Linked DNA regions of Notamacropus eugenii. The protein of the gene in region 1 interacts with the protein of each later gene in a pairwise test. Links are inferred from orthologs where the notes say so. Each region holds a gene or a part of one and is shown in the gene's direction. Other genes may lie near its edges. The genes, in order: AMOTL2, THRA, GCC1 and NFIL3.

What was found.
Region 2: the proteins of AMOTL2 (region 1) and THRA interact in binary tests that used the Homo sapiens proteins (3 or more experiments, as listed by UniProt). The two-hybrid records come from large-scale screens. The link is inferred for Notamacropus eugenii from reciprocal best matches to the Homo sapiens genes AMOTL2 and THRA.
Region 3: the proteins of AMOTL2 (region 1) and GCC1 interact in a two-hybrid assay, tested with the Homo sapiens proteins (2 studies listed by BioGRID and IntAct). The two-hybrid records come from large-scale screens. The link is inferred for Notamacropus eugenii from reciprocal best matches to the Homo sapiens genes AMOTL2 and GCC1.
Region 4: the proteins of AMOTL2 (region 1) and NFIL3 interact in binary tests that used the Homo sapiens proteins (3 or more experiments, as listed by UniProt). The two-hybrid records come from large-scale screens. The link is inferred for Notamacropus eugenii from reciprocal best matches to the Homo sapiens genes AMOTL2 and NFIL3.

What each region holds. Positions count from the first base shown.
Region 1 is NC_092876.1:334,135,140-334,142,634, forward strand, and holds the start of AMOTL2 (angiomotin-like protein 2), read left to right. Parts: upstream 1-4,440; 5' UTR 4,441-4,824; intron 4,825-7,495. UniProt on the Homo sapiens protein: Regulates the translocation of phosphorylated SRC to peripheral cell-matrix adhesion sites. Required for proper architecture of actin filaments.
Region 2 is NC_092873.1:355,632,213-355,639,410, forward strand, and holds the start of THRA (thyroid hormone receptor alpha), read left to right. Parts: upstream 1-4,184; 5' UTR 4,185-4,409; intron 4,410-4,585; exon of another isoform or gene 4,586-4,699; intron 4,700-7,198.
Region 3 is NC_092874.1:122,542,707-122,550,008, forward strand, and holds the start of GCC1 (GRIP and coiled-coil domain-containing protein 1), read left to right. Parts: upstream 1-4,282; 5' UTR 4,283-4,615; coding exon 4,616-5,641; intron 5,642-7,018; coding exon 7,019-7,302. Other genes in the region: ARF5 (ADP-ribosylation factor 5), read right to left, coding at 673-782, 1,111-1,191, 1,959-2,202. UniProt on the Homo sapiens protein: Probably involved in maintaining Golgi structure.
Region 4 is NC_092872.1:108,332,987-108,340,881, reverse strand, and holds the start of NFIL3 (nuclear factor interleukin-3-regulated protein), read left to right. Parts: upstream 1-4,857; 5' UTR 4,858-5,494; intron 5,495-5,519; exon of another isoform or gene 5,520-5,889; intron 5,890-7,895.

The sequences.
Region 1 (7,495 bases):
TTGCAGTTTTTCCAGTGCCCGTTCTAATTTATCTGCAACATATCTGCTTAACTTAAGTCTAGATGGACACTTTAGATGACAGTCTTTCATATTTTATGGACTTTTTTTGGGTGTTTCCTCAAACACTTCTGAATGACAATACTATAGGCCATGTCTTCCTTTTCCTCAAAAAAATGAATCACTCTAGCTCACACAGATGCATGGGCTGCAACTCACCATTTCCAAGCAAAGCTAGTGTCTAGACAGTTGCCAAAAACATACACATAGTTAACTTGCCTTGCAGCACATGGGCACAGGGCAGACCACATAGTCAGCTATAAACCACACACACAGCATCCATCCATCCATCCATCCATCCATCCATCCATCCATCTATCTATCTATCTATCTACCTACCTACCTACCTACCTACATCTACCTTCTATCTCTCTAGTTCTCTCATCTCTCTCTCTCTTTCTCTCTCTCTCTATTTCTGTCTCTCCCTCTATCTTCAGTTAATATTAACTTGTGAATCAACAACCAGTTGACTTTAGCATAATCTTTTTTTCTGATCAACCTTTCAGTCTACTGACCTATTTTATCATTACGTTTCTCCAGGGATTACTTCTCCAGTACCTCCCAGTCTTTAGTTTTGTTTTAGGGTACCACAAAGCTAGGAGAGTACAGCCTGGATGGTAAATGCCTCCTTTTATGTTTCTTATACTGGAATCTGGCTGTCCAATTTGGGAGCTGCAGAAGACAGCACAAAGACCACCAGTTTTGTTTCTCCTGATAACCAAGACTCCTGGAGACCCTGAAAAAGAGAGCTAAAGATTTCAAAATGGTGGTCTCTGGATTCTCTCCCTGCCAGGCCCACTAATCATCCTCAAGCTAGAAGATGATTTGCTGCCATCAGCCTGCGATTTATTTATTTATTTTTGCTTGCTAGGTAACCATGTCAGTCTACAGCACAGCAGAGAAGAGAAATGCTGAACGTGTACAGGCGTACACAGGCACAGGTGAAAATAAGTACGTGGTTTTACTATTTAGCAGAATGTCACAGGAGGGAAGACCAAATGCCCGGTTTAGCTGAGGAAGAAGAGGCTGAGAAACACACCTACACTTAAGGGCTGTAGGGACAAGGAATCCAAGGACCCTTTTCTCTTGAGTCTGTTGATTTTTAAATTTTTTCTGGTCATTAACATTTTTTTTATCCAGTAAGGATAACTCAGGAAGCAATATGTTCAAGTGGTAACCACAAGAGAGGAAGAAAATTTCTGCCAGGTTCTCTCAAATCTCATTCCTCCCTCCCCACCCCCAATCTCCCCACCCCCAAAGCTGGGCTGACTAGGTATCTGTATGCTCTAGGGCAAGGTTTGGACATTGGGGGTTCCTTTTTGTATTATTCTCCACCAGGGGCTTTCCTATAAATATCACATTTGACTCTTCACAAATTAAAGGCCTACAGAGTATGGGAATGAGTTTTTTACCATTATAAATAGGTGCATCTAAGACAAGGGTGGGGAATCTATAGCCTCGAGGTTACATGTGGCCTTCTAGGTCCTTGGGTATAGCCTTTTGACTGAGTCCAAGTTCTACAGAACAAATTATTTTATTAAAGGAATTTGTTCTGTGAAGTTTGGATTCGGTCAAAGGGCTGCACTTGAGGATCTAGAGGGCCACATGTGTCCTTGAGGCTGTAGCTTCCCCACCCCTGAGACAAGTAGTATGAAATAGCACCAAAAAAAAAAAAAAATTAAAGTGTCCTTTCTTTTGTGCCCTGCTCCCCTTGTTGAGACCTTGGAGTTTGACTAATGTGCCTTCTTCTAGATAAGCTTCATTTTGAACAAAATTCAGTTTTATGTAAAAACACAGATCTAGAGTTGGATGGGACCTTGACTTCTAGTCTGGGAGTAAGGGGTGCCTTATTATATAAATGAGAAAACTGAGGCCCAGGAATATAAGGTGACACCTATGGACACCCACGTAATGAGCACCTGTATGTGGGCCTGCACCAAAGGCAGGAAATCAACTCAGGGGCTCAAAATTCAAAGATTATTCTTTCCTTTAAAAAAAAAATAACTTTACCCTGTTTACTTTTCACAGAATGTGAGAGATAAAATGATCTTAGAGATTATTTGGTTCTTCCCCCTCTTTCTTTTTTTTGGAGATGAAAAGATAGAGGCTCACAGAAGCAGGGACTCATCTTGCATGGCCCTGGCTGCTCCAAAGCATCAGACCCTGAACTCATCCCCACACGGCCAGATTCCAATTCCACCAGACCATCCTCCCTCCTGGAATTGTAGCATCCACTTTCTTTTTTTTCTTTTAAATAGTATTTTATTTTTTCCAATTACATGTAAAGATGTTTTTAACATTCTTATTTTTAATAAAATTTTGAGTTCCAAATTTTCTCTCTTTCCTCCTTAAGACAGTAAGCAATTTGATATGTTATATATGTGCAATCATGTAAAACATGTTTCCTTATTAGCCATGTTGTATTAGAAAAAACAGAACAAAAGGGAAAAACTACAAAAAAATAAAAGGAAAATAGAATGTTTCTACCTGCATTCAGACTCCATCACTTCTTTCCTTGGATGTGGATAGCATTTTCTATCATGAATCTTTCAGAATTGTCTTAGATCGTTGTATTGCTGAAAAGACCTAAGTCTATCAAAGCTAGCACAATGTTGTTTTTACTATATACAATGCTCTCCTGGTTCTGCTCATTTCACTCAGCATACGTTCATATAAATCTTTCCAAGTGTTTCTGAAATTCACCTGCTCATCATTTCTTATAGCTCAATAGTATTCCTTTACTTTCATGTACTACAACTTGTTCAGCCATTTCCTAATTGATGGACATTCCTTCTGTTTCCAACTCTGCCACAAAAAGGGCTGCTCAAAATGTTTTGTGTATGTGGGTCCTTTTTCCTTTTTAATGATCTCTTTAGGTTATGGACATAGGAGTGGTACTGTAGCATTTATTTTCCAAGAAAAATACACACACACACAGACACACACACACAGACACAGACACACAGACACAGACACACACACAGACATACAGACACAGACACAGACACACAGACACACAGACACACACAGACACACACACACAGACACACACACACAGACACACACACAGACACACACACACACACACACACACACACACACACACACACACACACACACACACACACACACACACACTGGGCTTAGTAAATGGCTTCTTGGCCATTAAATATCTCATGGGAAGTCCTGCACTGGCAGAAGCTCTGTAAACTGCAGGTAGGGAAATGCAGCAATTAGGTGACAAATGAATATCATTGGTCTATTTGAGAGAAAAGGCTTTAGATTTGGGTTTGTTTTGCTGCCTCTCTTTAAGGTAAAAAAACAAAAACAAAAACAACCTAAAGAAAATTATCCAAATAGCTGCCCAATTTCCTGTTTGTACCTGCCCCTGTAGCAATAACCAAAACATGATTGGGTCAAACTCAGAAACTGGGGTCACTAAACTGTATATAAGAAACCTGGTGTTAACATTTACTATGTTCAATCATATCTTTATTTGTTTTGTTGAATATTCCCCAATTTCATTTTATTCTGTGAGGGCCTAGAGCATTTGGAAATGGATTAAATTCTTTTGCTGGGGCGTAAGAGATAGAACTCTGGATTTGGAGTCACCAAGATTAAGTTTAACTTCTGCCTTAGACAATTTATTAATAGCTATGTGACCTTGGGCAAGTCACTTAACTCTTTGCCTCAGTTTCTTCATCTGTAAAGTGAGAATAATATTAACATCTATCTGAAAGGGGTTTGAGAATCAAATAGCATGTGTAGAGTTTTTGCAGACTTTACCCATAGAAAAGATCTGCAGCTTGAACCCAAACTTTAAAAAAAAACAGATAACTTTCCTTAGAGTTGAAGTTCTTAACCTTCTTTATTTTGTCATGGACCCCTATGGCAGTCTAGTGCAGCCCTAACGACCCTTTGTCAGAATAAAAGTTTTAAATGCATAAAAGACATAGGATTATACGGGACACAAAAGAAACCTATTATGTTGAAATATAGTTATCAAAATTGAAAAAAAAAGTTCACGGACCCCAAGTTAAGAATTCCTTATTTAGACGGTCTGCACTCATTGGAAATTAAAATTTTAAATACTACCTAGATGTTAGAGTCCAACAAAAATATCCATTGGAGACTCCACTGGCACAAATATTCATTTGGGAATGAATGAGTTAATGCCAGTTAGAAGCCTGAGCCAAGTAGAAAGAAGAACTCAGAAGAAAAGAAGAAGAAAAATTGGGGGAAGAATCGCTCCTTGGGTTATGGAGCCATGTGGTGAAGGGGGCGGGGGAGCCCAGTTAGTAGCCCCTGCAGTGCGCAGCCTCTCACTGCTGCCGCTGGATGGGGCGAGCGCAAGAGGTTATTTGTGGTTAGCTTTGATCCCAAGGGGGAACCTGAAACTCTCACATTCCTGGCATAGCTTGCCGCCTCTTGCACAGTCCAACCTCTGTGGCTCGCGGTACAGCTGGAGGAGCGCAGTCTCGCTTCCAGCAGTCACAGAGGCAGGATCTCCGTGCCCGGGAGCTCAGAGCTGCGTGCGGACTTTTCCTTGCGCTGCTCTGATTTTTCCAATTCTTTTTTTTAACTATTATTATTAAAATTTTGTTTTGGCATTTCGGCAGTAGGGGTAGGAAGGGGCCGCAGATAAGCCAAGACACGCACGCATTCTGCATTTTCTCCCTCCGAAAGAGCTCTGTACGGCTAGCTCCCCGGCAACTTCTGTTGGCTGGGTCTGAGACTCTAGGACTGAGGCTTTCAGGCTATGGGTTGGTAAGTTTCACCAGGGAAATTGACGCGTTCTATTTGCCAGTGTCTCGTAGCGCACAGCCGGGAGACAGGGAGCGAGCTCTCGGGGCCATGCAGAGAGAACCTAGGGGAGGCGGGAGCGGATGATTGGGAGCCGAGAGAGCTCCTCATTCGTCCGCGATCCCGGTGCTTCGACTACACTGGGTTTCCCCTTTGCACGACTCTTGGCGGCTTTTCTGCGATTTAGATTGGGGAAATCTTCCCGCAAGCTTGATCATTCCAGCCTGAGGGATACTTGGGGGGCAGAGGAAGGATACCTTAGCTCTTGACCCTGGCTCTTGCGATGCCCTTGAAACCTATGGATTTCCAAGTCTTCTGGTATTTGGAAACGGGAGGCGCTAGGGAGGGGAGGGAAAGGCCTGGAAATGATTAAAGAAAGGGGGGGAGCAATCCAAGGATTATTTGGTTAGTCTTGAGTTACAGGTGCTTTTGCCCCCCAACTAGTTAAAGAAATCCTCTTTGTCTTGTTTGGAAAAATGCTTTCCGGAGCCATAAGCCTGGCCCTCACTTAGAAAGAATGTTAATTGCAGTCCAAACCCTGATGATGTCAGGGCAGAAATATTTGGAAAACAAAGAGGGACCAGAGCAGCCAAGGAAATATAAATACTTTTCAGATGGCAATCGGTCGTACACTTTTGAGGTGAATTGGTGTTCAAATTGGTTCTAAAACTAAGGAGTTCGGAGCGTTTTTGACTCAGAAGTTATTTGTATGGGGGGGATCCAGTTACAGTTTTGGAACTCTGTTGCAGAAGTTGGTAGAAAGTGTGGTTTAATTTAGGCACGTAGGAATCTCAGTATTTTGGAGAGAATTTTCCGGCCGTTTTTTCTCCCTCTCCCACCCCCACCCCGCCTTATTTAGTGGAACACTGAGTGTTACAAAAAGCCAGAAAATAAGTACTTTAAGGGGAGATTATTATTTTTGTAATGGTTTATAGCTCCAGGGCCCTCCTTAACCTAAAAGAAGGACTTGTAGTTTATAATGACCTTATGGTTTAGTTATTTGATATTTGAGATTAATGGGTTTTTTTTATCAGGTCCAACATTACAAAAACATTATTAGCTTGTTCACAAGATAGGACAACTTGCATGGTACACCTTTTGAGAGCTCAAGTGATGGTGTGTCTAAGGTAGATTCTGGATTGTCCTAATTATTCTCCACTGACAGTCTTCATTAGTGAGCACGCTATTTATTAGACTGTGATTACTGTAGAAAATGCTCTGGTAATTGTGAAACATAAAAGTGGTTTGACTCCTAAGGATTTTTGTTGGTTCTCGTAAATTGTGGATTTCAGAATCTCTTCAATCCTGCCCTAGGAGTGGTAGGCTGGTATGATGAAAAGACTGGGTGGAAAGTTATACTACTTATGCAATTTCTAACTTAGCCAAAGATCCTTCCAGTGTCATAGTTGGGTTGTGGGGTTTAGCATGAAATGAGAGGGAAGGGAGGGAGGATGGTAGTTTCTCACTCTGGAGCAGCTAGGTAACACAGTGGATAGAGGTTGGAGTCAGGAAAACCTGAACTCAAATCCTGCCTCATTCATACATTTACTAATTTACTAGCAGTGTGACCCTGAGCTAGGCACTCAACATCTGTCTACCTCAGTATCCTCATCTGTAAATGGGGATAATAATAACACCTAACCTCCCAGGATTTCTGTGAAGATGAGAAAGTGCTTTGCAAGCCTTCAGGCTCTCTATAAATGCTAGCTACTCATATTATTATATTATTATCACTATCACACTAAACTGGTGATTTCTAGATATCTCATTGGCTTAGAGAGTCAGAAACATCCACAAATTCACCCACCTCTCTCAGATGGTCACTTCATTATGACTTGGGAAATAATGGCTACTATTCAGAGTCATTATCATAGAGTTCTCTTTTAAAAATGAGTTTAATGTACAAATGGATTTGGGTTTTGATGGTTATAGAGTTAGGGAATATTGTGATGATGCAGCTGCCTTAGGAGTCGCTAGCTTCCTAGAGTCCAGATATTGGAAAACTCTTCGTCCCTAGAACACCTTAATCGATCATTGAGCCCCTGCTAGACTCAGTTCTGTGCCTTTTTGAAACCATGGCATTTCCTTACCCATAGTACTGCCTCTGTAGGGAATGTGCTATTACTGTTAATTATGACTACAACTATTATGAATTACTATCAACAGACTGAGGAGGAGAGCCAGTTAGACTCTGTCCAAATAACGTATAAAAAATATCTAGGGAAATTACCTCTTTGTCATCTTGTATTTGTCTGATATATTAAGATACTGTAAGCTGGGCCAGGTAAAAGGGGGATAGTTTGCTGCTTACAGGGACCATGTGATTTAACTAGTGCTTGTTGGCAGGACTTTCTTGTTCCCAGTGGCTTGTTAAATAAAGCCTCTGTTCACAATACCATAATTCATATCCAGTCCTTTCCTCTTTCATTATCTGGCACTCCATAGTCATTTCCTCCTTCCTTATTTCTAATATTCACTGTCTCAGAATGATCCCCAAGGTCATCCTATGACATTGGTTCAAATATATCAGCTTAGCTTGTACCAGTTCTTTTTTTGGGGTAACTAATACCTAGACAGACCTCCCCATGTCACATAGATGTGAATTATGACCTTTCATGATTAGAATTGGTTCACC
Region 2 (7,198 bases), on another chromosome or scaffold:
AGAGTTAGACAGAACCAAGGGAAGAAAGGCCCTGAGTATTGAAGAAAGGGCCAATTTCTACCCATACCAGGGAAAAGCCCATGAAGAAAAAATGACATGGCAACATCTGGTGCAGCTGCAGAGAATTTGGAAAGGAGTCTGGGAAAGGTCAATGAGGAGTCAGGGAATATTGGTTGAGGAAGTTTCACCGCCCAACTAGGAAAGGGTGTCAGGAAGACAGTGATAGAAATTCTGTTTGTTACATGGCACAGGAATGTCAAAGAACTTCTTGGAGTAGGGCACCTAAGAGATATCCACCTATTTTCTTTCAAAGGGAGACCAAGGCTCTAGGCTAGATGCCACTATTATAGCACTGCTTCCTGAAAATATGCCCAGGTGCCAACTGAGGGGAGTCAACTGGCAACAGATGTGGGAAAGAGAAGTTCAGCAAAGTGCCCCCCACACACACACAAAGACACACACACAAATAGCTAACACTAGGTCTAGCTCACCTCAGAAGTGACTGCCTTCCATTCCCACCCCTAACTCCTAGCCTATATCTTCCTTTCTCTATATTCAGAGAGGAGGATGTCCATAGCTCTGTGCTTCTTTACAAGGATCAATTTCTAAGGGAAGCCAAGAATTCCCTTCATTCACCCCTGGGAGGGGATTTTCACTTTCTTTGTTTCTCTTCATTTGTGCCTGTCCCATCTCTATAACTCCCCAAAAGAAATGGGTATGGCCAATTCCTCCCACCAGCCAGGAGAAAAAAGAAGTGAAAGATAGAAACTATCCAAGGTGCTGAAAAGGAAAAATTGAACCCAGACCTTAGAGCAGCTTCACCTTGTCTCAGTCACCAGAATTCCTGAGATAATCTCCTATCCTCACTCACCCAACATGTTCCCTTTATCAGGAAGAGAAAAATCAGCCACATGACCTTGGCACCTAGACACAGAAAGGAGCCACATGTACCCAGGTCTTGATAATTGTTCCCTCTGCCATATTATCCCTTTTTCCATCTCCTTGCCCCATATTCTGATTGCAAAGGACCAACCCTCTCCTAGACAAAGTGTGTCATCATCATCACCCTTCTTCTAGACTTAAGGTATGACCTTTAATCTAGAGGTTAAAGGTGGGAATAATTAATAGTTAATAAGTGTGCAGGGGGATTGTAATGAGTTTGGTGTAAATGAAATTTGGCAGACATTTATGAGAAGAGGAGAGAGTTCATACCGAAGGTTGGAATCCGAGAGAGAATTTGGGATCCATGTTTGTCTCACTTGGAGATAACCCAGAAAAATCTGGTTTGGTGGAGGGCAGAGGTCAAACCTCTTCAACCTCCCTCTTGTTTTATATATAAGGTCATTCTTTCGCCTGTCCTGTGTTGAGCTTTCTTATTAAGTCTTTTCCCATAGTCCTCCCCCAAATTCCCTTTCCTGTCTTTTGAGTGCCCAAGTGGGGTAAAGGGAAATCAGAGATTGGGGAGAAAACATGAGTAATTATTGTGGGGGACTTAAGTGGCCTCCTTAGTACTTATCAGGGTAATTGCTGGATAATTTCCCAACTGTCTGCCTTTCCCAGTCCCTTATTCCTCCAAGTCTACCAAATCTATTTCCTCCCTCCCCTTGCCCCCAACAGCCCATCCCTACCTCCACCATACACTTCTCTTCTTTCCTTTTCCTAGGATCCCAATAACCAATCTCCTTTCTGAAAAATAAATATTCCTGATAAGAAAAATACCTATATTCCTGATTTCATCAACCATCTGTACCTCAGTTTCCCCTGCTCTCCTTTTCCTCCTCCCCAGTGCTCAGAGGTCTGTCAAGCAGTGAGGTAATGCCAAGACAGCTTGGAGAGTTTCCTTCACATTTCATCTGCTGGTACCAACTCTCTTTAGGCTAGGGGAGTGCTGGGGGTGGGGGAGACAGAGAGCTTATTTCCACAACTGGCTAGTTGATGGCCAGTATCCCCCACCTGTCACTAGGATATGAAATGATTACAGGGGCATGGAGTTGTATGAGGTGTTGGCTCTTAGGCAGAGGTCTTCTTAGGGAGATAACTATCTAGAATCCCTATTGATAGGGGAATAGGAGAGGGAGAAATTGTGGGGGTACACCATAATAACAGAAAGAGGGAAAGAGGAGGTGTTTGGATACAGCTTTTGTCAACAATAGCCAGAGAACAGGCTGTTCCTTAGACCACCCTTTCTCAGGTTCCTTTTCCTGTCTCTCCTATCCTTAATATACTATAGTCTCCTATTCCCTTCTCCCTTCTCTTCCTTTCCACCACCTCAGAGTACAGGGGCAGCTAGGTGGTGCAGTGGATAAAGCACCAGTGCAGGAGTCAGGAGGAGCTGAGTTCTAATCTCACCTCACACACTTGACACTCATTAGCTGTGTGACCTTGAGCAAGTCACTTAACCCCAATTGCCTCATCCTGGGTCATCTCTAGTGATCCTGATGAATATCTGGTCACTGGATTCAGATAGTTCTGGAGGAGAAGTAAGGCTAGTGACCTGCACAGCCCTCCCTCACTCAAAACAAAGTCAAGTGCAAGTCAGGTCATTATTTCTCTGATGGCATGGTCTTCTGCGGCAATGGAGGACAAACACACCTCACAGTACAAGGGAAGATGGAGGGATAGGAAAATCCATATTCACTATTAAGCTAAGATGGTGAAATCTCTCCCATCCTCACTATGAGAGGCAGCGGGTTGAATAAGAAGAATAAGAAAAAGCTATAGATTTGTCATCAGATGACCTCAGTTTAAGATCCTGACTCTCTGTGTGATCTTGGGCAAGTCACTTGAACTCTCTTGACCTCACTTTCCTCATCAGTAAAATGAAGATGTAAGTCCAGAGTAGTTTCTACAAAGGGTTGGTCTAGATGATCTCAGAGACCATTTCCAGCTCTGAAACTGTGATGTTATGATCACTGCATTCCAAAGAGTGTCTCCTCTTCCTCCTCTTGATCCCATGAGAGATCTGAAGGGCAAACCTTCTTGGAAGACAAGCCCCCAGGGACGACCTACCATGAGAGAATTACCTCTAAAAAGGAGAGGTTTGGACAATCTAATCAACTCAGGCTGTTGTTAGTCAGACAAATTTTCCAAATGTGATCGACCAAACTTCATCCCCACCTCCTCATGAGAAGGGAGCAGGGGAAGAGGGGCCCCACCCTGGGGAGCCCGTGGGAAGGCAATGGCCTCCGCTGGTAAAACTGGGCTAATGACAGCAGGGGAACCGGCAGGGCCAGAGTGGGGGGCTGGGGTAATTAGAGCTTTGCCCAACCTGGAAGATCCCAAGATGAAAAGGGCTTTGGCGTCTCTGGGTTGGTTTAATGTCCATGAATACAGCTGTATGTGTATGCATAGGAAGGTGTGTGGGGTGGGGTGGGGGTGGGGGACCTGACACATTGGAGAGGTCTCTTTTTGGATGACTCCTACAATTTGCATATACACAAAGGATTCTGGGTTCTAGGTTCTGGATTCCAGTTCGGTTCTCCACCCCGTTGAAAAAAAAAAATCAAAATTCTCCCAGCATCACGATGAGATATAAGAGCAGGACGGGAGAGACCTCTGCATGTATCCTGCAGGTACATAGTCCTTTCCAGGTCTCTTCCTTTTGACCAAAGGGGCCGTGTTTTTACTTTTCTCTACATCACCAGAGCCGAGCACAGTGCCTGGCTTCATAGTACTCCCTGAGCCAATGCTTGTGGACTGACTAACCGACGGCATCCTCCCTCCTGGGCTGCGGAGGGTCTTCAGAAACATGGCTGGGGACAAGAAGTGGCCTCCAGGAGGGAGCCTAGCGAAAGAAGGAGGGCTCAGAGTGGGACCGGGAGAAGCGTCGGGTGGGAGCGAGCGTCAGAGAGCAAATTAGCGAGAAGCGAGCGATTCCCGAGGGAGCGATCCGGCAGGGATGGGCACTTGTGAGTGAGCCGGCGTGGGATAGGATGGGGCGAGGGGGGACCCGCCAGGCGTGAATGGACTGAGGGCATAGCGCACTCGGTCCGAGTAAGATGAAGAAGGTGAGAGGAGATAGGGGCGGGGCCGGGCCGGGCTCGGCACAGCCGACCTGGCCGGGATGGCCCGGGCTGGGAGGGGAGGCCGCCGGGCTGCTAGGCTCGGCCTGCAGGGAGCAGCAGTGAGCCAGGCCCGGGCGGCGCGGAGCCTGGAGCCCGAGCCCGAGCCCGAGCCCGAGCCCGAGCGGAGCGGGGCGGGGGAGGGAGGAGCTAGCACGGCCGCCGCCTCTGCCGGAGGAGCCGCGGGGCCGCCACACTTGCCCCCCTCCCCCTCTCTCACTCGCACTCACACCCGGGGACAGGAGGCGGGCGGCCCCGGCCCCACCGGTCCCCCATGGCCACCCCCGGGCCCCGGCGCTGAGCCACCCGCCACCCCTCCCCACGCACAGCCCAGCCCGCCACGCCGAGGTAAGGGGGAGGGGGAGGGGGTATTAATATGCAAATACATTGCGATTGATTATGCAAAGCCACCGGACGCTCGCTGGCTGGGGTCCTAGTCCCGGCTGGGGGCGTCCCTGGGGACCCGCTGCCTGCACAGCCAGCCCCTGGGTGACACTGTCAGTGCTGGGGTGCTTGCAACTTACCAACTCCCCGGAGTAAATGGAGGACTCGGCTGGCGGGGGAGGGGGACGGGACGGTTGCAGCGGGTTGGTGGCCAGGAGGGGGGCGGTGGTGCTGCAGGGGCAGATGGCGTCCGGGCCTCGCCCCCCACACCCCGCCTCCGCCGCCCCGCGGGTCCCCGGCCTCTCCCGGTCCCGTCTGCTACGCATTGTCGGAGCCGCGGCCCCGGCTGCCAGGCGGCCCCTGTTCCCCCGCCAGCCGCCGCCGCCGCCGCGGTTTGTTTACGGTTCGGGCGGCCTGTTTCTCCCCCCACCCTCCGCCCTCCCGACTGCCGGGGCCGAGCTGCTTTTGCAAAGCTTCCTCCGGCGGGAGTGGGGGGGGGGGGGGGTTGCAGCCTCCCCGGGGCTCGAGGACCGCCCCAGCCCCTTCACATGGGGCTGCATGGCCCTCCAGTTGCAACACTCCCAAATGCAAAAACGCGGCTGGGGGAAGAAAAAAGAGGAGTTGGTAGGAGAACTCCGGGGTCCCCGGGAAGCGCCCGGAGAGTTGCATGCTCCAGGCCACTTGGGGAAGTGCGAGACCAACAGGGAGGGAGCTGAGGGGCTTGCAACGTGTCCCTCGAGCCCCTGGCAGATGGGGTTTCCCCCTCTTCTGGATGGGGAAAAGGCCTAAGGGGTGGCGGGGTCAGAGTTTGAAGGGAGGGTGAGGGAGGAGGAGCGAGGCGCGGTTGGTAGTACTCCGGGAGCCCTGACCTGGCAGAAGCTGGCTGACGGGAGGAGGAAGGGGGGCTTGTCCGGGAGGTGAAGGGTAGGGGGAGGCGGTGAAAGCCAGACACACCGGGATAGGCGCTGACACGGGGACGCGGGGCGTCAAGGACAGGAGGGTGATAGACACACCCACACTGGGCCAGGAAGACCGAACACTCGTGAGCAAGTGCACACGCTGAGATGGACACACCCACAGGGGGACCCAAGGACAGGCAGACAGACACGGGCACATACCCACATACAGACTCCTATACACAGACATCGCTATACATAGTCCCAGGTGCAGTCACAACCGACAAACAGATACTGTATTTATGGAGGACCTAGTGTCCAGGCACCACTGCCTTGCTTTTCATTGAGAGAGATACCAAGAATAGATACATTCTTGCCTTCAAGGAGTTTAATCAATCTATAAATATTTATTAATTGCTTCCCAGGTGCCAGGCACTCTGCTAATCGAAAAGGATACAAAAAGAGGCAAAAGACAGGCCCTCTCCTCAAGGAGTTTACATTGTAACTGAGGAGAGAAGATTGCCCCCAAGAATAAAAGCTATGTCAGACAAATGCACATATATAGTAATATACATACTCTCTTACTCCAAGGATTCTTAACCTATGGGCCATATTTTTTTTGTTTTGTTTTTTTTAGAAGCTTATTTCAATATAGATAGTTTCTTTTTATAATCTTATACATTTAAAAACAACATTCTGAGAAGGGTGGATAAGCATCACCAGGTTGACAAAGGGTTCCATGACACTGAAAAAGGTTAAGAACAACTCTGTATTTAGATTGTAAATCCCTTTAGGGCAAGGATAGTATTATTTTGTACCCATTTATACCCAACAGCATTTATCCCAATGTTTCCTGTATAATAGCTGCTCTGTAAGTATTTGTTGATTGAATGATAAGAGTAGCAGATTTACTGTGTCACACATGCAGGCATTCACAGACACAAATGCACACATTCTTTCTCTGTCTCATGCTTTTTCCTGTGTCTCCCTCCTCTAAGGGCATGGACAATTTTAAAGGAGATTAGGAAGAGAAATTTTCGTGAGAGAGGGGAGGTAAGGGGTTTCTGAGGACTGAGACAATAGCCCCAGACAATAACCCTGCCTAAGCTGCCTTGACAACTGGGGGCAGCAAGGTTGTCTTTAGGGGAATCAGACTTAACTCTCTGCCTCCCACTTCCCCACCCTAAAAGTGTCTTGGGGAACTCATTTGCCTGAATCTTTCCTGCTTACCCCAAAGCCTCCCCATAACCTCAACTAGATGTTTTTTTACTATCCGTTTAGATGTTACCTTCTGTCCTTCTGTTCAAATTGCTGTGTTTTTATGTGTGTTTTTGTCCTTTTATCTGTTTATCTCTCTGTCTGGTCTCTTTCTCTTTTAAGCTCTATATTTCTTTTCTCCTGTCACTTTCTTTTGAGTGTCTCCCAGTCTTTGCATGTCTCAGCATTATAATCTTCTGTCCTAGAGCTAGGGACTAGCTAGGACATCCTTCATATTTCTCTGGTTGCTAATAGTGAGCTTTTCCCTGCTGCCTCCCCAGGGGTCAGCAGGAGGTTGGGGTGGGGGTGGGGGGTGGAAGGGGCTCTGCTGGCTTCTCAGGACATCCTGGATTTCCTTACCAAGAGAAAAGCACAGCTGTGGCCACCAGGGTTTGGGGAATGGGGGTGGGGAAGGGTGCTTCTGTTCAACCAGGCCTCTCTACCTGGCTAAGCTAAGCCTAGATACAGGACCTAAATAAGGGGAGCTCTAGGAACTATTGGGGTTTCCTAATGTCAATGAGGATTCCTGTCTTTTTGGCTTTCCAGGGCTCCCTATTCAATTCTAAAGCTTAGTAGGTAAGAGTATTGGTGTCTCCTATA
Region 3 (7,302 bases), on another chromosome or scaffold:
TCTTTCATTCAAAAAATGAAACAAAACAATATATATTAAAACCTAATTCCCTTTTCAGCATCTACTATATGCAAGGCACTAAGAGGGAAAATATATATACATATATATTATCTACTCTCAAAACACTTATTAATGTACAAGGATAGGTATACCAATATTGCGTGGGGAAGAATTTCATGAGGACCACTTAGAGATAGGATATAAGCAAAAACTACAGAAACATGAAAGGAAAAAGTGCTTCTGACTGGAGAAAGCAGAGAAAGCTTCACAGAAATGGAAGTGGTATTTGGGTGGGACCTTCATTGAAGGATGAACAGAATTTCAACAGGTGGAGGGAGGAGACTGGAGTGGGGAGAAGGGTGAAAAGAGGAATATTCTAGGTAGATGGAGCCATGAATAGAAGCATAAAGCGAGGAAAGCTTGTTTAAGAAACACAGACTAGGTCAAGGTGGCTAGACTCAAAAAGGGAATAATTGAAGAAATTGCTAGAAAGTAGAATAAAAGTTCCTTGAGGGCAAAGTGTTATTTTTATCTCTAGCATTTAATACAGAGTCTGGTACGTAGTAGGTGCTTAACAGATACCAGATATAGGAATGAGTTTTATTTTGTAGGTAACGGGGAACCATGGGAAACTGTATGTGTCTATTTAGCTATTTGTGCTCTCTGGCCCACCTGAGTGTTTTGGAAGTAGTGTCTCCAGAGAGGCCGAATCTTGTCCTGGCCTCCCACATCCCAGACGGTGAAACAAATGTTCTTATATTCCACGGTCTCCACGTTGAAGCCTGTGAGGAAAGGGAAAAGGGGGGGAAGCCTGGGGGGGAGGAGGGGCACTGTAATGTGGGCAGGTACATTCAACTCTACAAAAGCGACGGGAGATCAGCTTGGTCAGGAGAACTTCTGGGAGTCCCCCAGAAGAACATCATGCAGACTTAAAAGAATTAACCGAACTGGGCCCAGGGCTGCTGCTTCCACATCCTGGCACCATCAGCCAAAGACACCATGACCTACTTTCTTGGAGCAACTGTATCTAGTGTCAGGGTCAGGCCCCAGAGAGGAAATACAGGGGACGCTCACAGACTACCAGCCCTCCCCTCCGTCCCAGGAGCTCACCTATGGTGGGGATGGTAGTGACAATCTCGCCCAGCTTCAGTTTGTAGAGGATCGTGGTCTTGCCTGCGGCATCCAAGCCGACTGCAATAGAGAGGCAGGGTAATGGATACGGTACCCGAGAAGCTCCGACTGAGACGAGGAGGGAGAGGGCTCGGGAACGGGAAAAATGAGATCGGAAAGTCTCAACGTGCATCTCCCGCTCCGGGGAGCTACGTTAGGGGGGAGTCCGAGGGAAACCTGGGCATCACGAGCCATTTCTCTTCCCCTCCATAGAAAAACCCGCACGCCCAGGGCCAAACAAAAAACCCCACCCAAAGTGGGCCTGCGGATTCAAGGGAGGGCAGGACTCAAGGAAGGAGGTGGGGGCCCCACAGGGACGGGGGCTGCCTCTCCAGAGAGGCATTCCAGTCGTGTCCAAGGGCCTCGCGTGGGGGCGGGCGGCCGGCCTGTGGGTTAACCCCGCCCAGGCCGGCAGGTTCCCGGCCTGGGCGCCCGCAGGCTCCGGCTGCTGCTGCAAAGCGGAGGAGGCTGCAGGCTGGGCCAGCTGGGCTGCAGGCCGTACCTGTCTTACCAACCCCGCCCCCCGCTCCCGAGGGCCGGGGGTCTTTTATCCCTTCTCCTCCCTCACCCGCCACCCCGTGCCTCAGTTTCCCTCATCTCCTCTCTCGACCACCCCCACCCTCACCCCCGGCTCGGAAGGGGAGGCCGAGGCTGGGCGCGCAGGGCCGGGTGGGGAGGCTGCGGGGGCGGCAGAGGGATGCGGGGGCGGCGAGGCTGCGGGGGAGGCGGAGGGCGTTACTCCGTGGGCAGGGAGGGATGCGGGGCCGTGACGCTGCCCGGGACCTCACCCATGAGGATCCGCATCTGCTTCTTCCCGAAGATCCGCGAGAAGAGCGCGGACACCGTGAGGCCCATGGCTGGGCCAGGGAGGGAGGAGCGGGGAGCGGGGAGCCGGGAGCCGGAGCCGGAGCCGGCAGGTTGCTGGGGGGATGGAGAGCAGCAGCAGCAGCAGGAACCGGAGCCGCCTCCGCGCTTACAGGACCCGCGTGACGTCACCGAAGAGCCCCGCCCCCACCCAGGCCACGCCCCCATCCCGCACACCTTAAAGAGCTTAGAGCCCAACCTTCTCTTTTTGCAGAGGAGGAAGCTAAGGCTGGGAGGGAAGTAATTTGCTCGCAGTCACCTGGATGTAGGAGAGATGGGGTTCGAACCCTGCTCTTCTGACTCTAAATCACTTCTTTACGCCAGGAAAAACTGAAACAGAAAGAAGGCTCAGGAAGAACGCGTACCTCCCCCCCAGCATTCTGGAATAGTCTACCTTGTGTGTTTGTGGCAAGTTGAAGAAAGAAATTAGGGTCTCTTTCCAGAATATTGCCTCAGAGCCCATCATCCCTCCCACCATCAGGATCATTTGTAACAGATGCAGCTTCTCTTCCCCATGCCTGCCAGGGCACCCCAAGATGCGGTGTTTTTTACTCTTTAACCTCTTTCCATTCTTTCCCAGAGCCTCTGCAAGGTAAGGAGGGAATCTACGGAACCTGCCCATATTTCCAGGTATCACAACTGACTTACAATAAACACCAATGGTAATAAAACATTAATATTATGTGCTTTAAATCACCTTAACCTCTTGCTTCTACTATAAAGTAAGGAACGCATCTATGGACTTCTGCCCTGAGTTTCAGGTATCACAACTGACCTACAATAAACACCAATGATAATAAACAGAATAAGTATTAAGTGCTTTAAAATGTTCCAGGCACTGTGCAGAGTGCGGGGGTTATGAATACAAGCAAGACAGTTCCTGCTTTCAAGGAGCTGGGTTTTTTCAAGGGCATTAATTCTAAGGAACCCCAATGTGGTTTACTTACAATTCCCTGTACCTCAAGTAAATAAGAGGCAGGGTAAAGTAAGAATTTCTCTCTTTAGAGCAGAAATTTCCTCTTGTACTTTGTATCTCTCTGACAACCTCTAGCCCAGGTCTTGTCACATAGTAACTTAATGCTTGAATTAAATTGACTGGTAGGATACAGCAAAAGTAAAATAAGTTTTAGATCATAAATCTAGGGGAAGAAATCATATTCAAGTTCAGATGCAGTCCCCAGATTTGCTGCTTTTCTTCTCTGTAGTTATATAAATACACCTCTAAAACAGGGCTTTTTTTTGGAGGCAATGGAATTAAGTGACTGGCCCAGGGTCATTCAGCTAGTAAATGTTTGAGGCTGAATTTGAACTCAGGTCTTCCTGACTCCAGGAACTGTGCTCCAAACACTGTGCTGCCTAGCTGCCTCAACAATAGGTCTTTTGAGTTGGAAAGGTCATAAGTGATTATCCACTACTCTCTTTTGACAAATTAGGAAACTTTAATGAACAAGAGAAATAGTGATTTGTCCAAGGTTGCACAGGTAGAAAGATATTAGGGGAGAGATTTAAACTCAGGCCTTACTCACAAATTCAGGATTCACTTCCACTACACCACGAAATGCTAGACATCTGTATCAATAAACACTTGCTGAATTGAATGCAGAGATCTGCAGATGGCCAATTTGCAAATTTAGAGCAAACATCTCTCAGGAGGCACCTGACCATAATGGCTGCAGCTTTCTGGATCTTCTAGACTGGTGAATAGAATAATATGTATTCGTATAGTACTTAAAGCAAATTGCTTATTTGATCCTCACAACAGCCCTGTAAGGTAGGTGCTTTCATTCCCATTTTACAGATGAGAACACAGGCAGACAGGTTAAGTGACTTGCCCAGGGTCCTGTAACAAGAGGTATGGAGAACAGCCCCTCAATACTCCCGTCCCCAGCTTCCCATGGGGGGCGGGGTTCTCCTTCAAGCACTACAGACATTTTAACAAATATCATTTATACGGTGCTTTAAGGGGTCCAGGAGTCAAAAAGAGGTGAAGAACTGGTGGTCCTAGATCTGGCAGGGGGTCGCCTCCATTCCCTGCGCCGCAGTCGTGCATACAGGTCTCTCTATGCATTTTCCCCTCCACTGCATCAGATACCCTGACCAGCTCAGACCCCAGGAAGCAGCGCCCAGCCTCGCCTAAGAGCAACCGCAGCAGCTCGACTGGCGCTCGAGGCCCCTCCCCTTGGCGCTCAAAGGCCCCGCCCCTCTCCTTATGCCCCACCCCTTCGCTCTACGTCCCACCTCTCCTCCCCGAGCGCACGCCTATCCCGAATGCCCACCTGCACTTCCGGCGGAGCCGGAAGCGTTGTTGACAACTGACTTGAAGTGGTTACCGAGTTAGGATCGGAGCCGGAACCGGTCTGTCCCGCTTCGGGGGCGAAGGGAGCGAGGGGCGCCGCGGCGTCTGCTGGCTTCGTCATTTGCCCCGCTAGCCCTCTGGGGCCGGAGCCAGGAAAGCGCCTGACATGGCGGCCTTGGCAGCTGCACCCCCTCGGCGGGAGCGCGCGTAAGGTCGGACCCCTCCCCGCACTGTCCCCCCCACCCCAGACTCCGTGAGCGGTGACGTCAGGGAGCTGCCCCTGCCATGGAGAAGTTTGGCATGAACTTCGGCGGGGGCCCTAGCAAGAAGGACCTGCTGGAGACCATAGAGACGCAGAAGAAACAGCTGCTGCAGTACCAGGCCCGCCTCAAGGACGTGGTCCGGGCTTATAAGAGCCTGCTGAAGGAGAAGGAGGCCCTGGAGGCCAGCCTCAAGGTGCTCTCGGCGTCCCACGAGGCTGACGATGCCTGCCAGGCCCCAGGCCTTCCCCTGGCCGAGGCTGTGGATGACCGGTGCTCCACTCACAGTGAGGACAGCACTGGTACTGCCACCAGCCTGGACACAACGGCCAGTCTGACCAGCACCAAGGGTGATCTCGGGGTGGAAGATGAGAGACTGCCCGCTGGTCCAGCACCTCCGAAGTCTGAGGAAGCCAGTGGGTCGGAGAGTGGCGTTAGTTCCAGTAGTGGGGATGTGCCAGCCAGTGTTGGCGGGGAGATCGACAAACGTTTGCACCAACTGAAGACCCAGTTGACCACCCTGACCAGCTCTTTGGCCACAGTGACACAAGAGAAGTCCCGCATGGAAGCCTCGTACCAGGCTGATAAAAAGAAAATGAAACAAGATTTGGAGGATGCCGGTAGGAAGGCTGAGGAAGAAAGGAGCCGACTGGAGGGGGAGCTCAGGGGGCTGCAGGAGCAGATGGCAGAGACTAAAGCCAGGTTGATCACACAGCAGCATGACAGAGCCCAGGAGCAGAGTGATCATGCTTTGATGCTGAGGGAGCTGCAGAAACTGCTACAAGGAGAGAGAACCTTACGGCAGGATATTGAACTGCAGCTAGAGGAGACCCGGGAAGCCCTGGCTGGACAGGCCTATTCAGCTGACCAGGTGGAAGGGTTCGAGTTACAGATCAAACAGTTGACCCACGAAGTGGAGGAACTGAAGCAGGAACTGCAGGCTCTTCGAGAGGAGAAGACTCATCCAGACCCACGGCTGGAAGAGCTTCAGGAAGAAGCTGCCCACCTTAAGAGTCATTTCCAGTCCCAGTTGCAGCAGGAAATGAGGAAGGTAATTCACCTTATCTGATTCAAATCTATAGGTGCTTAATGCGTGACTAAAAATATTAGACTTTTTCTTCTTTTCAAACCCTATACTGTAGTTGAAAGAAGTGCTAAATTTGTAATAAGAGTTCAAATCCTTACTATGCCACTTACAGCTATGTACCCATAGACAAGTTGCTTTATCTTATAGAACTTGGTATTCTCTTCTACAAAATGAGGGATTTGGACCAAATTTACCTACGAGGTCTCTTCATGCTTTCAATTCCTTTATTTTCATGGTCCTTACCCAAAATTTCTCATGGACAAATTTACTGGAAAATCTTGGTCTAATTGATGTTTACAAAAATTACAGAACATACGTCTAAGGGGATGTGGTATTTGTGGGTGCTGTCTGGAATTAAGTTGGAGTGCTTCCAGATTCTAGGCATTGGCTTCTTAACAGCTGTGTTAAGGAAAACAGTGAAGTACTGTATTCTATTTGTGTGGTTGATATTTTTTTCAGAAGGAGGCAGTTTCCTTCAGTTGTTCTCAATCAGGATTTGTTTTGGAGATGAATGTGCTATCCCAGAATACTGTTTTGGATTTTATGAGAATACCGCTTTTCAATTCTGGACTTGCTAGGCAGGGGTAGCATACAGGAGCGTGCAGTTCCTGAGGATAAACAGCAGATTAAGGGTGATAGACATAATATGCTAGACGTGTGACAAAAATGTAGAAACTGAAAGCAGAATAGAACTGTTCATGAACACTCAATAAACATGTATCTGTCATGTGCTAAGGCACTGTGCCAGGCAATGAGATTACACAGGGGAAAAAAAAACATTCCAGGCCTCAAGGAACTTAGACTCTACTGGGTAGCAGGTGTCAGGAAGAAACAATACATGTACACAGATAAGTATAATACAGGATAGTGTTTGAGAAGAGCAAAGGAGAAATCTAGATAAAGTGTCACAGGAAAATTTAAAACGGGAGAGAAAATTTCTAACTGGATGGATCAGGGATTCATGGAGAAGGATTCATTTTTAGCTTCTTGAGCTGAAGACAATGCTTCTCAGGGAATAAGTGTAATGCATTTGTTTTGACTTGATCTAGTAATAGTATTAATGCTCATGTGATTTTTGTCAAGTCACAGAAAATGACCTTAATATTATTTGGTGAGATAAATTCTGAGTCTTCAAGGGGTGAGGGCAGGGTTGCAGAATGGGAGTGGATAATAGTTTAAGTTTTGTTGGTGCTTGAATCAATGAAAAAGTTCTCTAAAGTTCTTCCCATTCCTACCAGCACATCCTATTTAAGTGCCCTCTCTCTTCTCTGCCTTTCCTAGATTCAGTGACAAGCTCTGCACTCTCTCTTAATTCATCTTTTTTGTTTCCTTGGTTTTTAGACTGCTTTGGCAGAGGAGCAGCTCCGTCAGTATTCTCAGATGGAGGAACAGAGGGTGGCTGCCCTAGAGAACCAAGTCTCAGAAGTGTCTGAACTTCTGGGCACCTATGAGAAGGCTAAACAAAAGGATCAGCTGGCAATTCAGAAGCTCAAGGATCGCCTTCTGCAGCTGGATATGGAGAATAAGACACTTGCTCTTGCAGCCTCCAGCCGTTCTCCCCTGGACAGTCACAATGAGGAGACCAGCCTGGATGTCAATGTTCTAAAGGATAAGATGGAGAAACT
Region 4 (7,895 bases), on another chromosome or scaffold:
AGGATGTCAAAGGGTAGGTGAACTTTTGCCAACCAAAAAAATTTAGGGGATTATAGTATAAATTTAAGTAAGTCAATGAATCATTAGAACAACCGTTAATGAAAATCTGGTCTAAAGGGGATAATTCAGAGTATTTGTCAGAATTCAATAGACTGGGAGAGCTTGCAGATGATATCTTACAAAATCAGTTGAAACAATTCCATTTGTAGGTGGATGAAATAGAGAGTTCTATATTTCTGATCCCAGAAAGATGAACACCTTAATAGCAGATTACCTGTTGAAAAATAGCAAGGAAAAAGATGAAATTTTTACAAGAGACATATTTAGTGGACTTGAATTATTGTCTCCCACCATGACTGCCCACTCTTTATGACCCATCTGATTGGGGTATACTGATAGCCTGTTTTTTAGGTGGAGTCCTACATGCATATCATGAGATTTGAGCATATTCCTTCCCCATCCAGACTACCATCTAGTCCTGGGCAGATCAATTGGTGAAGTCTGAATAGAGTACTGGTCAGCCTCTGAAAATTGGTATTCTGAGGAGGATGGAAGGGAGGCAAACTGCTTTGTTCTCTATGATATTAGGTTGGGAGAAGGTAATAATGCTCTTTCCTGTAAGGAGTATTGGGTGTGACTTTTGAAACATAGGGTAGGTAAGAAGACAATTGATGGTCAGCCTATGGGGTTTTTAAATTGAAAATCAAATACTATTTTTAAATATCTGGGACCATGAAGATATCCTAGAACTCCTGCAAGGACCTTTGTACCTCAATAAAATTTATAAAATCCCTGATGGTCTCTGTCCTAAATTATTGGTAGTGCATACAATCTGGTCATTACCCCATCCTATATGCTTGTTCGGAGCCACTTCAATCTTTGTATTCAGATTTGAGGGACTATTGGAATAAACTCCATTAAAATGAGTATTAAACTTCCCCCTGAGTCTCTAATTGTTCTAACAGTAGGACTACATGCAACCAGAGGTCATATGCCCAAGTGGAATTGCTTATCTCAAGTACCTATTCTCACTAAACCTAGTGTTCTTAACTAAAACCTGGTTAAGAGTTGGTGGGAAGACCACCAATGTAAAGGTGGATCTTGCCTATTTAAGTTTCAGATGGATTATAGGCATACACATCATGAGTTTTTCAGTCATTTTTAAAATTTAATTTATTTATTTTTAGTTTTCAACATTCACTTCCATGAGATTTTGAGTTCCAAATTTTCTTCCTATCTCTCCTCTCCCCCCAAGATGGCATGTAAATTGATATAGGCTCAACATGTATATTCATATTAAATCTATTTTTACATTAGTCATGTTGTACAGAACAATTAGAACCAATGGGAGAAACCATGAGAAAGAAGAAAAGAGAGAGAGAGAGAGAGAAGAGAGAAAGCAAATACTATGCTTCAATCTGCATTCAGATTCCATAGTTCTTTCTCTTCCAGGGTTGTCTTAGATCCTTGCATTGCTAAGAACAGATAAGTCTTTCAAAGTTAGTCATCATACGTTGTATACAATGTTCTCCTGGTTCTGCTCATTTCACTCAGCATCAATTCATGTAAGTCTTCCCAGATTTTTCTGAAGTTGACCTGCTCATCATTTCTTATAACACAATAGTATTCCATTACATTCATATACCACAACTTGTTCAGCCATTCCCCAACTGATGGGCATCCTCTCAATTTCCAATTCTTTGCCACCACAAAAAGAGCTGCTATAAATATTCTTACATGTGGGTCCTTTTCCCATTTGAATGATCTCTTTGGGATACAGACCTAGAAGTGGTATTCAGAGTCATTATTAATATATAGGTATGGTTATAGTGGTTATTTTGGATAGGAGTAACTAGAAGCCCTTGTTGCCTGAACCATCCTGTCTAGTTAATATTTTAAAATACTGGGTTGGGTTGGGAGCAAAATACACTTTCTCTTTAGTAATGGAGATGAGTTTCCTCATCTGGAAATTGCCTATGCCACTAAATTCATAGGTCCATTCCCTGTCCTTACTTAGCGAAGTTGAAAGAAGCTGGAGTACTTACTTCACCATAAAAACTCCCCTTATAATTCTCCTTCATATTTCCATAGTTTGGAGAGCAGACACTTGTAAAAGAGCTTGTATATGTTGATTGGGCTTGGTGAAGCAAGTGGCAATTTTGTGGCAGAAGTCCTAGATTAGATAGATGATGGATTATGTGAAAGACAAGGAGTGGAAGATCAATCCCTAACAAAATTTAGGGTCCAGTCAACCTACTTAAATTTGGGGGGAATACTTTAAATGAGAAGAACTCTGATGATTCTGGAGATAGCTTATAATAAGCTAGTCCCATTTGCTTCCATATAGACTAAATGTGAAGCCTAAATGCTTAACCTTTCTGAAGAACTTTTATTCCCTCTTTTCGTATTATTGTGTTGTGGTCTCTGTGTTACTGAGTCATTTCAAAGTATACTTCTTTAAAGTGGAGAAAAGAAGAGGTTATAGCTTTGGAAGCTCTAAAGGGGGCTGTCCAGCAGTCTCTCCCTGGTTCATTTTGATCCTGTGAAACCTATGTTCTTTGATGTTTCAGTTCATAAGGACAAAACTGAATGTAGCATTTGGCTGATACTAAACAAATGTTAGGCTTCTGGAGGAATAATCTGCCAGAAACAACCACTTGCCCTTAAAAAAAATTGCCTTCTATTGGGTTCTATTTGTTACTGAACAAATGATATTATGTTGACCCTTCATTGTGAGTTGCCCATGTGAGTTATCTATTTCAAAATTGTTATAACAAAATAGATGGAACACAGGAGGTTTCCATTCTTTAAAGGAAATTGTAACTAATATTATGTTTATCTGGGTCCCTCAGGTATTACTGCCTTCATGAGCACATTATGATATTTGTTAGAAGTGGAATACTCTAGTCTCAACTAGTTGCAACCAAAAGATTTTTATTTATACTTACTCTTGGAAGGTACCCAAGGATTTGAATGAGTATATAGTTGTTAAAGATACCATTTTGTGAGTCTTTTGATTGATGGAGGAATTTTGCTCATGGTTCCGCTTTATACAGTTGTGTGTAGCGCATCAGAAGTATCGCTGTTTGTGCTACGAACCTGACATGATTATTTTAGTGATGGAAGATCCTATAGAAAAATGTAGGGTCCTTGCTGCCAAGGGATGGGATATAGTAGGACTGACACCTATTTTGTATAGGCTTGTTTGGTGCTCCAAGGGAGTTGTAAGTTGGAGACCATTTGATTTCCCTTTTGTCTGAGGCATAAAAAGCCTAACTAAGCACAGGGTGAGTTGGTGTCACTTTTTATCAGAGGTCCTACTGCCTTTGCCTTTGCTTGACTAAGGAGGTAGAGGGGAGTAGTGCTTCATATCCCTTTATGTATTAGAAATTGTAGTCTTTTAATTTATTATTAGTAAAACTTTTATTGTATTTTATGATCTACAAGTGACTACCAGGATAATGAGCAAAAATGAGTAATATATAATAGTCTAAAGAAAGTCAGACTCTATTGGATACGTAATTGCTGGAGTTTTCATTTCCTGAAAAAATCAGCGCATAAATACAGTTTGTGAATAACTCTTAAAATAGTTCTTTCATTTATATGTTATTTCCTATACATGGAAGGGAGGGAGGGAAGGTGTCAAGTTAGCAGAAGAATCTTTATTGCCCTTATCTATGAAGATCATTAAAGGAAGACATTAACTGCAGTGTCAAGAGTACAGTATATGCTTTGTAGCCCACAGCAGAAAATGCCAACTGGCATAAGAGCAGAGAACACACCCAATAATGAATCAACATGTATGTCTTCAGCAGACTTTCATGCTAGCCAAAGATTATGTATAATTCAGTGGAGGACTGCCCATATGCGGTAGCTGGGTAGATATAAATCAGCAAAACTAGTTTTTCAAATTTGTTTTACAATCATTTTTAAGTTTCAGTATCCTTAGTTTCGGAGGGAAGTGGTGTATTTTTACATTCTTCTCTATTTTCACTTGTAGCAGTGGTCGACTTAATAGAAATCTGAATTTTTTGGTTTGTTTATTTTAATCAGTGATCTACATAACAAAGCCTTATTCGGAATCAAGCCTTTGGATCACTCTTCTTCCCTCCCCCACCCCATCCCCATTTCCAGCCTTTTGTAAAAAGTCTTCCTTTAGGAAACCCTCTACTCCAGCTTCCCCCATCCCTGTTCCCTTGCTAGCTGGGCCTCTAGCAAACCAACGGGACAATCCACCCCCATTTCAAATATGTCCTTTCTCACCACGCTGCCCGCCCCTATCAATTTCTTATCTATGAGGTCATGGAGCCTGAGTATGTGCTTATTTAACCAACAACACTTTCTGCTCCCCAGGAGCTGGGGGTGGGTGTAAACTGTGAATCATGTAGCTTGGCTTCGGATTTTCCTTCTCCCCCACCAGGCTCCCAGCTTCTGGGGTCCACATTTCAGCAAAGCTGCCTCTCCGACCCGGCCCCGGGGATCCGCCTGCAACAGGTAGCTAGGCTGTCTTTCACAGTTTAAAAAAAAAAAAAAAGCAGGGTCAGAAGAATGAAAAGAAAGAAACAGAGGAGAAGTGAGAAAAGAAAAGGGAGAACGAAAGGGCTGAGTCCACCTTAACTCCAACCCGCTGGCCCGCTCCACGTAAATGTCAGAGCCCCTCCCTCCTCCCCTCCTTTTCTCCTCTCCCCCTGCTCGTTATGCAATACCCTTAGCACATATAGTACCACAAATGGTTGAGCTGAGGGAGGAAGGGAGGGAGGCAGGAGGGAGGAGCAGATGTAACAGGGATAAGGGAGGGAAGGGAAGCATTGGTAGTGGTGTCGTTGGAAAAGAGGGAGGGACGTAAGCAATTCAAGTTGCGGGCCTCCCCCTCAGTTCCTCCGCCCCGACGAGTAGTACCCATTGGTGGTGGGGCTGGCTCTGGGCGCTGTGATTGGGGCGCGGTGGACGCCAGTCACCACCGAGGCTGGCACAAGGGTACGTTGCGAGGAGCACGATGTTGACCTACTAACACAGATCTCTGGCGGCGGCGGCGGCAGCGGCGGCGGCGGCGCGCTGGTGGTTCCCCGCGGTAGCAGGCTGGTAGACCCCTCCCATCACTCCTCCTCTACCGCCACCCCCTACCCCCCACCCCCCGCCCGCGCCCCTCTCTCCGACCCCAGGAAGTGCTGCCCCTGGCTCTCCCCTCCGTGTCGCGCTACCAGCCTGCGGGCCTGCCCCGGAGCGGGCAGCGGAGCCCCAGGCGATCCCCTTCTCTTCCGATCCTTTGATGCTGCCCCTGGCCCCCCCGGCAGACCCCCACTCCGGCACTCACAGCAGTGCCCAAGCCTCCCTCAGCCCTGCCCAGCCTCTGCCCTCTGGTAGAGCGGAGGCTAGGAGTCGGGGCTTGTGTTCTCGGGTTCACTTGCGACTTTCCGGGGAGACCTCTTCTCGTTTTTGTTGCGTGTTCTGCCCCTCCCACCACATTCTCCGGGCCAAGATGAAAATGAAAAAGGTAATTACACATGTTGTGTACTAATATTTCTAGGCTTTGTTTTCATTTTCTGTCTTTGTGTCTCTCTGAATCTCCCTCTGTCTCCACTCGCTGCCTTACCTTACCCCACCCACTCATGTGTAATTTCGAAAAGTTGCTGTCACCTCCAGAGTGTGTATGTAGAAAATAGTGTGTTTAGATGACCTCTCTAGACGTGTGTATTTATTAATTATCCAAACTTTTGCTGATATGTCCATGTCGGAATCTCCACCTTAAGGTGACTGTATTGATTGCCACCCCCTTTCCCCAGCACGTAGACTTTGCTCCCTTTCTCTACCCTGCAGTTGCATAATATGACTGTATTTAAGGAAAATTGGTGTTTTGACAGAGAAAAGCAGTAAGGCAGCCCTTCTGAGGTCAGTCCATTTCCGAGCATGCAGCAGAAGGCTTTCTGACTCACGCCCCCACTCCCTCTTCTCTAGGGATGGAGCGAGTTTAGGGGGTGGGGGGAATGGGAGAAGATGTGAGGGGTTGAGTAATGCTAAAAATACTCCATTTGGTTGAGAAATGAGGTTTGAAAAGGGGGGGGTGGTGACGGCATTCAAAAAATGCCTGTTCAACAATTGTTTCTGTGCCGGAGGTTAGTCCTTACCTAGAGTTTCCACACTAAGTATGTTTTAAAAGGCCGAAGGAAGATTTGTGAGGTTTGTTCTTTCATACATTGCATAATCCGCCCACTGTGAATGCTGGCAAGGATTGTGAGAATGGGTGTGTGTGTGTGTGTGTGTGTGTGTGTGTGTGTGTGTGTGTGTGTGTGTGTGTGTGTGTGTGTGTGTGTAATGATTTTGTAATTTTGGTGCAGCGTCGGGAAATTAGCTTATTATAAATTGCATCGATTTTCTATTTTCAGTACTACATCATTTAAGATCTACAAATATATACACATATTCTAGTTGAATGTTGGGTTTCAGATGATAAGGAAGCTTATCATGTGTCTCTGGGGTGTTATTTTTCAAATCTGGAAAGAAGAATTGTGCCGGTTAAATTAGTCCCTTCCATTAACGGAAATCTTTTATTGTTAACTCCCTTTTCCCCTCACTTTTGTGTAATTGGTTTTTCAGACGCTGCAAAACAGATCACCTAATAGTTCCTGGAAATGTTGCATTATGTAACCACAGAATTTGCTGGCAGAGGACAGAGGAAGAGGGAGCTAATTACGCGATTTTTATAATCTAGCTACAAAGAAACTAGGGCAATAAGCTTTCAGAAAAATGGCACGGTAGCTGTTTTTTAGAAGGATGTTTATAAATAGAAAAGTAGACAACTGGGTAAGACGTGAGTTCGTTCATGCTGCCGAATATGTCATATACCCTAAAATGAAATTGTGTTCTTCTATATTTAGCCCTAACTATCACAATTTAGCAATTGTGGCTTCACGGGGCTATTTCTGGTGTTTTCTCCAGAACTGTTGGCAAATAGACGTTCAAGGCCATTTGCTGAGGTTTAACTCCAGGTCTTCTGAGACATTTTGATGATTCTGAATTTTGGACGGCATCTCCCTTAGGTGAAATTACATTCTTTAAAAAATGAAAAGACAGGGAAACTGCTGCTCGCCGAAAACCTCCCGGAAGGTTCCAGAGTCATTTTCTCTTCTGGGCATTTGTAATTAGCAGCCATGAAGTCACAAGTATTTCCTTCAGATTAGATTTACCACTCCCACCCTCAGATGTGATTTGTAGGAGGTAGACATAGGTCAGTAGTTTGTTTTATGTTGCATTTCCTGATTTCATTCAGAATAATATGTTGTAGAGGGTGTGTGTGTCTGTGTGTGTGTGTGTAAAATACATTGTTCTTGCACAACTTCCCCAGCTCCAAGCTCTTGGTCTGATTATATTTGCTATTTGTCTGTTTCTATGTATGTATACACATCTCCATATTCCAACACATTCACATTTGGTATAAGTTAGGTGTAGACAGACTTTTTGTGTTAATTAGAATTCTTTTTAAAAACTAAAATGAATTTTTCATATTTTTTGTAATTACTTTTTGAGAAGTGTATGTACCTATAAATAATTATAGTCTCTTTCTAGGAAATTTATTTAGACTTCAGTACCCTCAGTTAAGCTTCAGTGATTAGGTTGAGGGATATCTCAGAGCTCTCACTAAGAGATCAAGAGAATGGGCAGCTCCTCCTCTTGGTTGCTACTGCCAGTGGCCAGGCCCCAGTTTCATTTTTCTGCTGGCCCAACACCTTCAGCGGGTCCCTGGGGCAAACAACACCCCCACACCCACACCCCCTTCGTAGGCCTTCCCCCTCCACACCTTTACTGGATCTGTAGACTGTAGGAGTTCCAAGTTTTGAGGGATGTTAGGAGAGATTGTCAGCATTGTCTGAGGTGGTGGGATGGTGGTAGAAGAGGCC